2 linked regions of the Solanum lycopersicum genome follow. The protein of the gene in region 2 interacts with the protein of the main gene of each other region in a pairwise test. Links are inferred from orthologs where the notes say so. Each region holds a gene or a part of one and is shown on either strand. Other genes may lie near its edges. The genes, in order: phantastica; protein PEP-RELATED DEVELOPMENT ARRESTED 1, chloroplastic.

Evidence for each region.
Region 1: the proteins of protein PEP-RELATED DEVELOPMENT ARRESTED 1, chloroplastic (region 2) and phantastica interact in binary tests that used the Arabidopsis thaliana proteins (3 or more experiments, as listed by UniProt). The link is inferred for Solanum lycopersicum from reciprocal best matches to the Arabidopsis thaliana genes AT5G48470 and AS1.

The regions. Positions count from the first base shown.
Region 1 is NC_090808.1:4,657,598-4,661,998, reverse strand, and holds the start of phantastica, read left to right. Parts: upstream 1-1,394; 5' UTR 1,395-1,544; intron 1,545-2,053; exon of another isoform or gene 2,054-2,231; intron 2,232-4,023; 5' UTR 4,024-4,073; coding exon 4,074-4,401.
Region 2 is NC_090808.1:43,952,613-43,956,874, forward strand, and holds the start of protein PEP-RELATED DEVELOPMENT ARRESTED 1, chloroplastic, read left to right. Parts: upstream 1-1,382; 5' UTR 1,383-1,845; coding exon 1,846-2,175; intron 2,176-2,653; coding exon 2,654-2,809; intron 2,810-3,503; coding exon 3,504-3,572; intron 3,573-3,666; coding exon 3,667-3,837; intron 3,838-4,262. UniProt on the Arabidopsis thaliana protein: Plays an essential role in early steps of chloroplast development. May be involved in the redox control of plastid gene expression by maintening the redox state around chloroplast nucleoids.

The sequences.
Region 1 (4,401 bases), about 39 Mb from region 2:
ATACATCCAAAATTGAAGGGCATAATTATGTTTTGAAGCCAAGTTAAATAGCATATTTATATATTATGAAATTAATACGTGCTATTATTTTTAGTAATACATATTTGATAGCTTATTACTTCTTTTTTTTTATTTTATAAAACTCAGCACAAAACAATTCATGTGTACTATATATTATTTTTAGTACAATAAAAATGATTATTAATTGTAATCAATTTTTAATTGTTGTTAAATATATATTTTTATTAGCAATTGTCATTTTTTATATATATTTTTATAGTTTTTAGCGATATTGATTCTAATGACACTTAACTAATATCGGTAAAAACTTTAACATTATTTATTAATGTCAATATTTAATACTGCTAAAAGTTATTTTTATCGTAGTGACAATATTTAATAAAATAAGGATTAGATGAAAATTTATTATGCTATGTTTAATATTTCATCTTTTTTAATTTATAATTGAACATTGTACTCTATACACTGAAACTTTTAACATAACATCTAAAAATACATTTATAGCTATAGCTATAGTTCACATATTTTCGAAATTTAACTATAATTTAAATTGCCTTGTATAATCTGCAGATGAGTTAGTATAATTAACGGATAGGTTTATACCATTGAATATTTTTTTTTTGTATAAATTCAAATTAATAAATTTATACAAACAAAAATATATTAATTTTAAAAAATTATACAATATTATACACACATTCTAATTACCAACCAACATTCAAACTACAGACTTATCATAACCATCAACATCGATAGATGAGACCAACTTTAATAAGATATTAGAGTTCAAATTTTATAATAATAATAATAATGTGAATTTTTCATATAGTTGTGATTTAATGGTCATATTTATCGCAATAAATAATGATCTTAGACTTCAATTCAATATAACTATATGATTTGAACTTTTTACTATTTGAATCTTTCGCCTCTCACTTTACTTTGAATATATAATCTTGAACTTAAATTCGAAAGCTAAAATATTTTTACAATGAAAGAACTTATATTCCTTCTCAGAAAGTTTTCATCTTTTTATTTATTCGATAGAATTTTTATATTTTTATTCACTTGATAACTTAAATTCACAATATTAAAAGTAAAAACATAAATATTTATTATACGAGCAACTCTTTGCGATAATTTGAATTGAGGTGGTGATACTTCTAACTTTTTTTTTTTTTTGAATTTTACCCTCTAAGAAGATGTACAACACTAGTTGTATAATAGTGCGTGTGTACAAATAACCTTTCTGGTTAAAGACGCCATTGCCGTCTTCGTCATCACATTCTCTATACACGTCATTCTTCAAACAGAGAGGGCCATACCTTACCTCTTTTCTCTCTTATTACTCTGCATTTTCCCTTTATTTTCTGTTTCATCTCTCTTCTTCTTCTTCATTTTCTCTTTTGCTTAAACGTAGTGTATCCTTCAATTTTTTCTCTTTCTTTTACTCATTTTCTTGAAATATAATAAAAAAGATCATATGGGTCGAGCTAGAAACTGGGATGCCTAAGTTGTTTCTTGTAAGTTCTTTTGTAAATCTCTTAAAGTTTGCTCCTTTTTTTGATTCTGTGATCAAAATGATGTGTTCTGTTGTGGGTAAGTCTTATAAAGTTGTTTGCTTTTTTTTTTTTTTGGTTTACTGAATTGTGTTTGCTTGTCTTAACAAGAATTTATATTAATGGTTTGTATTTGGTGGAGATAAAGAATCTATCTTTTTGCTTTAGTGGTCTCTGCATTATCATTTTGGTCACTGCATTTTTTTTTTAATCTTTTTGCTCATATTTTCTTGAAATAGATTAAAAATGATTATATGGGTTGAGCTAAGAACTGGGATGCCTAAGTGGTATCTTGTGAGTTCTTTTGTAAGTCTATGAAAAGTTGTCTCCTTTTTTGATGCTGTGATCAAACTGATTTGATGGGTATTTTTCTTTTTTGACTTTATTGTGTTTTCTGGGAAGTGGAGTTTTTCAGTGCTGGCAGCTTGTTTCTTTATTTTTTTAAATACTGATTTGTGTGTTTTTGTTCTTTCAAGTATTCACATGTATGTCTGGTGGAGATAAAGAATCTATCTTTTTGCTCTAGTGGCCTCTGCATTACCATTTTTTCTGTCCCATATTGCACAATCTGGTTTCTGCATCTTTTCATGAAAAAAATACTGAAAGATCTAATAGGTTGAAGCAAGAATTGTGCTTCCTTTGAGGCTTCTTGTAAGATTCTCAAGTCTTGTTCCCTTTATGGTTCTGTAATCAAACTGATATGATGGATGCTTTCTACTATGTTATGTTTGTGTTTGTTTTTCAGTGTTGGATTGTGTGTGGAAATTTTTTTCTTAAGATGCTTGTCTTAAACTGAATTGTGTCTTTTTGTTCTTGCATTTACATGTATGGTTTTTATGCTATATGTGGAGAAGATAAGGAATCCATCTTTTGGCTGTAATGCTTTGCATTTCCATCATCTCTGTGCCTTTTTGCAGAATTTGGCTTCAACTGTAACTAGGAAAATGTTGAAATCTCTACCATGTTTGTTTTTGACTCAGATCTTACTAAGAGTTGTTTTTATATTGCTAGTCTTGAATCTTTCTATTTGTTGTCAATACATTTTCTGGTATAACTACCTAATTACATTTTGCATAAAAGTTCTCCCATCTTTATTGTGTTTTCTCACGTTAAGCTTGTTTTATTCTCTATCTTGATATATTGAAGATATGTGTCACTCAATTTCTGTGGATAGTCTCATTGTGGTTATCTGGTGTTTCTTGCTTTTTGTCTAGCTATTTTGATAGTGTATTCGTTTCCTCAAAAAACTTATTTTTTGAGCCTGAGAGTCCATTAGAGACAACGTCTCTACCCCACAAAGGTAGGTATGGTCTGTGTATTTCGTATGCTCCCGAAATCCCACTTGTGTGACTACACTGAGTATGTTGTAGTAGTCTCAGAGCTTGATGTTTCATAGATATTTTTGGACATGAAAACTTTAGTACTCTTAAAGGGTTATTGCAATTGAGCTAAATGAACATGTGTTAAGTAATCTAGGAAGAAGGGTGTTACTTAATTTGCATCATCATATTCTGCTGAGTTCTTTTTTGTGTTTGTTATGCACTTGCAATGATCTTGTACCTCAATGCTGGTCAAGAAGGATATCGATCTAGATAGTGAAGCCGATTGAGTATTGTGATGTCTGATTATTAATGATCCGTGTAATCATACAATTATGCCGGTACATTGTTAATATATTGCATCAAATGATTTATGTAAAGCATGTTTCAATCAATCTACTTGTGTGCACACACGTCTGCTTTCGTTTTTTCTTTACAGTCTTTTCTGCATATATCTTAGATGTGACCTTCGAATGTGGCTAGTCTGGTCTCTGTTCATGTTAATAGTTCAATGACGAAGGGTCTGAACAAAAGTAAATGTGAATATATTCTTCGATTCTTTTCTTATTTCTATCTGATTAATGATGTCTTCTAGAAATGCCAACTCAATTTTACATTATTTTTAATATTGATCTGGTCCTGAGTAGTGATACCAGATTGACATAGCAGCACTTTCTTGAAAATTATGACCTGATACCCCTAAATAACGCGGTTAGAACAGAGTTACTCCCTCTGTCCCAATTTTTGAGGCCGTGTTTTATTTGGAACTAGCATGTTGACTGTGTTTAAAATATGTACATCATTTGTTCTCATTATCTATTTTCTATTAAGTTTTGTATATGAGCAATCAGTTGTATTCTTCTCTTGGATATGTCTCGAGTACTGGAACATTGCATGAGTTTCCTTTGTTGAAGTCCTACTGAACGATCATGATCCTTTGTTACTGTGACGGTATTTTATTTAGGGGCGTTGTAATGACTTCCCATACAAGTTAAGATTTTAGTAACTACATTAAATGTGATGCACTTGCATGTACTTTGTTTGTGATCAATAGCTTGCTTAAGTTATGGTTCAGATTCTATACTCAAGTATTGCAAGTAAAATGGTGCGAAACATTCTTTCAGGAAAATTATGAGGAGTTTGGGAGGATGGAAACTGGTGTTTACACCTGGAAATGAGGGAGAGGCAACGGTGGCGAGCTGAAGAGGATGCTTTGTTGCGAGCATACGTGAGACAGTATGGACCAAAAGAATGGCACCTTGTATCACAGCGTATGAACACGCCCCTTAACAGGGACGCGAAGTCTTGTTTAGAAAGGTGGAAAAACTACCTCAAACCAGGGATTAAAAAAGGATCACTCACTGAAGACGAGCAGCGTCTTGTTATACAACTACAAGCCAAACACGGTAACAAATGGAAGAAAATAGCAGCTGAAGTACCAGGTCGAACTGCTAAAAGATTAGGAAAGTGGTGGGAAGTTTTCAAAGAGAAGCAACAGAGAG
Region 2 (4,262 bases):
GTTATAACAAAGTTTGCATGGTTGCGCTCCATAGCAAACATATATATGTATAATTCGCTATACATATATAATTGAAGTGAATTGTATAAAAAGAAGTGTGTAAAATGAGAAAGAGAAAGAGATTTGGGCAGAAAATTGTATAAAATGAAGTGTATAAAACGAAGTATATAAAACGTATTACATAATTATAAGTGTATATGACGATTATATACAATTTGAGTTGTATAAAACGAGAAAGGAGAAAGGCAAAAGAGACTTGGACAGAGAATATACTATTGAGTCGAATTTTATAAAACGAGAAAGAGAGAAATTATATACAATTTGAATTTGTATAAAACGAGAAAGAGAGAAAGACAAAAGAGACTTAGGCAGGAAAGTATTTTTATTTTATAATTGTAAGTGAATAAGACGGAGATATATGTATTTGCATGTGTATATACAATTTTCTCTCGCTTTGTACAATTAGATACACAATTTATACAATTCTATTGTATAAAGCGAGAGAGGCGAGCAAAGGAAGCGAGCGAGAGAGGGAGAGTAGCGAGCGATAATATGAGGGAGAGAGTGACTGACAAAAAGTTTTTTATGAAACACAAATAAATCAAAACGGTAACTACTATATTTATTTTATATTATTAATTTGTCGTTCTATACCATTATCCCCATTAAATATGGATGATTCAAAAAGGTAAAAAATATATTGTAAACAAAAAGGGAATATTATAATAATACATATGCCATCTCACCAGGAAAGATGTATCAAATATTTTTATAAGGAAACAAAAATATTTAGGTGAATTTTTAATTCAAAAAAAAAAAATATGATGGGGATTTACTCAATTAGAATGGAGAAGGTGAAAATGACATGGACGGTCATGGTTTTTAACCATATGATGGTGGATTGACGTATTTTTCATTTCCTTTTTTCTGTTTTATAGATTACATATTGACGATTTTGGTTTGTAGTGTATAGATGACTTTGGAATTAATCATTTTAATATTTTATGAGTCGAGCGTATCACATAGTGCTTATATAGTACTATTTATATATTTTAAGTGATTTACATATCATTACACGATTCACACCAAAAGGACAAAGACGATGTCAAAAGTTATAAGCTTGTAGTTGTGACACGTTATTCAAATATAACAAAACAAGTGATAATAATAATGGAAAATGCTCAAAAGTTCCTCTAAATTATTCGAAATAACTTATATTTATTCTTAAACTATATTTCGGCCCAAAATTATGCTTCTTGTAATATTATTGGGTCAAAATTATCCTTCTTATTAATGAAACTTGTTAAAGGTGAATGCCACATGACATACCATATAAGCTCCCCAATTTCATTCATTTCCACGTAGACTAATAATAAGATTTTAATCCTAATTCTTCTTCTCATTTTTCTATTTCCATTTGAAACCATTTTAATCACCCCTTTCCCCTAATTTCTCGTATTCATTTCGAAAACTTCATATATTTTTATTTTCGCAACTCCATTGTGAAGCTTCACAAGTTTGGCCTATAAGAAGCTTGAAGAGTACCAAACTACTAAGAGAAACTGATGTATGAATTGAAGTTTGGGCCAAGCTTGCAGGCTAGAAACAACCATACTTAGTGCTATGAATTGAAGTTTGGGCCAAGCTTGCAGGCTAGAAACAAACATACTTAGTGCTATCTTCTTAAAAAGGTAATTTTAATTTAAATATGAATTATTTTAAATAGTTTACGAATATTTTGACCTTTTCCATAATAATAACAATGATCTTACCCCTCTCCCGCAATATCTCCATTTCCACCCCCCAAAAGAAAAGATTGTAATTCCGTCGTTGGTCATTTCATCCATGGCATTTCTGTCCATCCCTATCGTTTTCTGTGGAGCTACTCCTGCAAGTCTATCTCGTTACTCGACTCCATCACTATACTATTTTCTTCAACCGGAAATCCCCAATCAGTATTCATTGCAGCTGAAGACATCCTGCAGACTGAACCTTTCGGCATTATGTACGAGTAACGAGGTCGGCGCAGGTTCTTTGGCGGAGGAATTCGGAGCTCAAAATGGAAGAATGGAAAATCATGGACATGAAGTCGGAGATTTTGATACTTCTCAGTATCAAGTTCTTCTTAAAGGTGGTGAACAAGTTACCTCCGTCCTTGAAGAAATGGCCAAGCTAGTATGTTTTCCCTTAATTGTATTATATTTCATTTGTCTTTGTGATGATATACTTTTAAAACTACAATTCTTCTGTGTGTTTGATTACTAGAAAAATTAAACCCTAAACCCTTTAGGTGTTCATTGAATTTGTTCCTGTTTAATTGTTAATCAAGTTAAATATCAGAGGTACTAGGATTTCACAGTCCATGTGAATGTGCTTCTCTTAGGAATTTTATGAAGTCTCTGTATTGTTATCTGAAGGGTGTGGTCTTAATTCTTGATAGCTAGTAACCCTAGAAATGAAGCTTATCCTGTATACTAATTTGTGATGTTGAAATGGATAATGGTATGGATACAAATATGTAAGTAATAAAAAGATAGAATTTTCCCCCTTTTTTTTTCCGTTCAAGTCGCTTATGTGGTTACTTCAGTATGTCAGCTGGAGTAGTTATTCATCTCGTCAATATACTTTGTTGGATACATATTTTATGAAACAGTTGGAAGATATGAAGATGGATGAAGCATCTGAGGAGGTAGCAGTGCAATTGGCTGCACAAGGAGTGATTGGGAAAAGAGTTGATGAAATGGAGTCCGGGTTCATGATGGCCCTTGATTACATGATCCAAACTGCTGACAACGACCAGGATGATAAGGTAGTATTATTAAGGTTCCTGATCTTTTTTTTTTCTTTTTTTTTCCTTGTTATTTTCCCTTAACCAGTTCTTTTGTTCGTGGAATCATATTTCGATTTCATAGTATGCGTGGTTTATACTTCATAGTCCCACCTATCATTATTTTGCCATGAGCAATTGATTTATTAGTTTTCACTGTCGACACATCTGGTACATTTTCTGTGGTAAGATAATTTGTGTGCTGCCATTGGAGATGGATTAGTAACAAATAGTTGTTGTTGATGATATTCATGTAATTTTTGCCTAGTACAAGATGTAATGAAGTAATAGGTGTCTCATTTAGAAGCTTATTGATGCTGATTTCTCTAGTAAATAGTCAGGTTCTCTCATTTTAGCCTTTTCATCGTATGGGTAATTTATTTCTTGATAGAAAAAGTTGCCAAGAGCATCGGGTTGAAGAAGCGATAATTAAAGAATTAAAGGCATTAAAGGGAACCTTCTCTATAATCAATTTTCCTTGATTGTTGGCTAGACTGAATGTTATTTGATTAGATATCAAGCTGGATATCTGATCCATATTATAGTCTTTTTATATATATTATATATATATTTCCATTTTGTGCCCAGTTCATGTCCATTTGATTCCTGTAGAGTACTGCATTGATACAAGAGGTTTTCTGGGTGGGTATGTGATTAACAAAGTTGTTTCTTTTAGCGCAAATCACTCTTGGAAGTTATCAAGGAGACTGTATTATCCCATCTTACCAAGAAGTGCCCCCCTCATGTGAGTATGCTAGTATGCTGAATGACTACATTATTAGCAGCATTGATGCTCTAGTCTTTGATCTGACATTGAATTGGATTTGTATGTTTTCTAGGTTCAAGTCATAGGCCTGCTCTGTAGAACTCCTCAAAAAGAAAGCAGACATGAATTGCTCAGGCGAGTTGCTGCTGGTGGTGGAGTATTTCAAAGTGAGAATGGGACAAAAGTCCATCTTCCTGGGGCAAATTTGAATGATATAGCTAACCAAGCGGATGATATTCTGGAGGTAGGCTCTTAATGTATATGCATAGTCAGGAGACTAACCAGTTTTTGGTATTTAAGTCTAAAATAATTTGTTTTGCATCAATTTCATTTGGCTGCGGGTCCCTTAGGGTGCAGGTTATTAGAAACCACAAACTTTACATGGTATGGAACATCTGGTTTGTAGAGACCATAAGGCACCACACTGTGCATTATGTAACACATTTTGGAAAATGGTTAGATCAATATTTTCATCTATTGATGTTAAAACTTCTGTTCAGCCATCTTGGTCAGACAATTTGTAGTGTTGATGCTGGTTATATGTAAGCTGTAAGAAACTTGTGCTCAATGCTGAATTCATTATTTATTTTTGTTCTCAAGTTACTGAAATATTAATTTTTTATAAAAATGAAGAAAAAAAGGCAAGTCATGGTAATGTCAAGTTTTAAC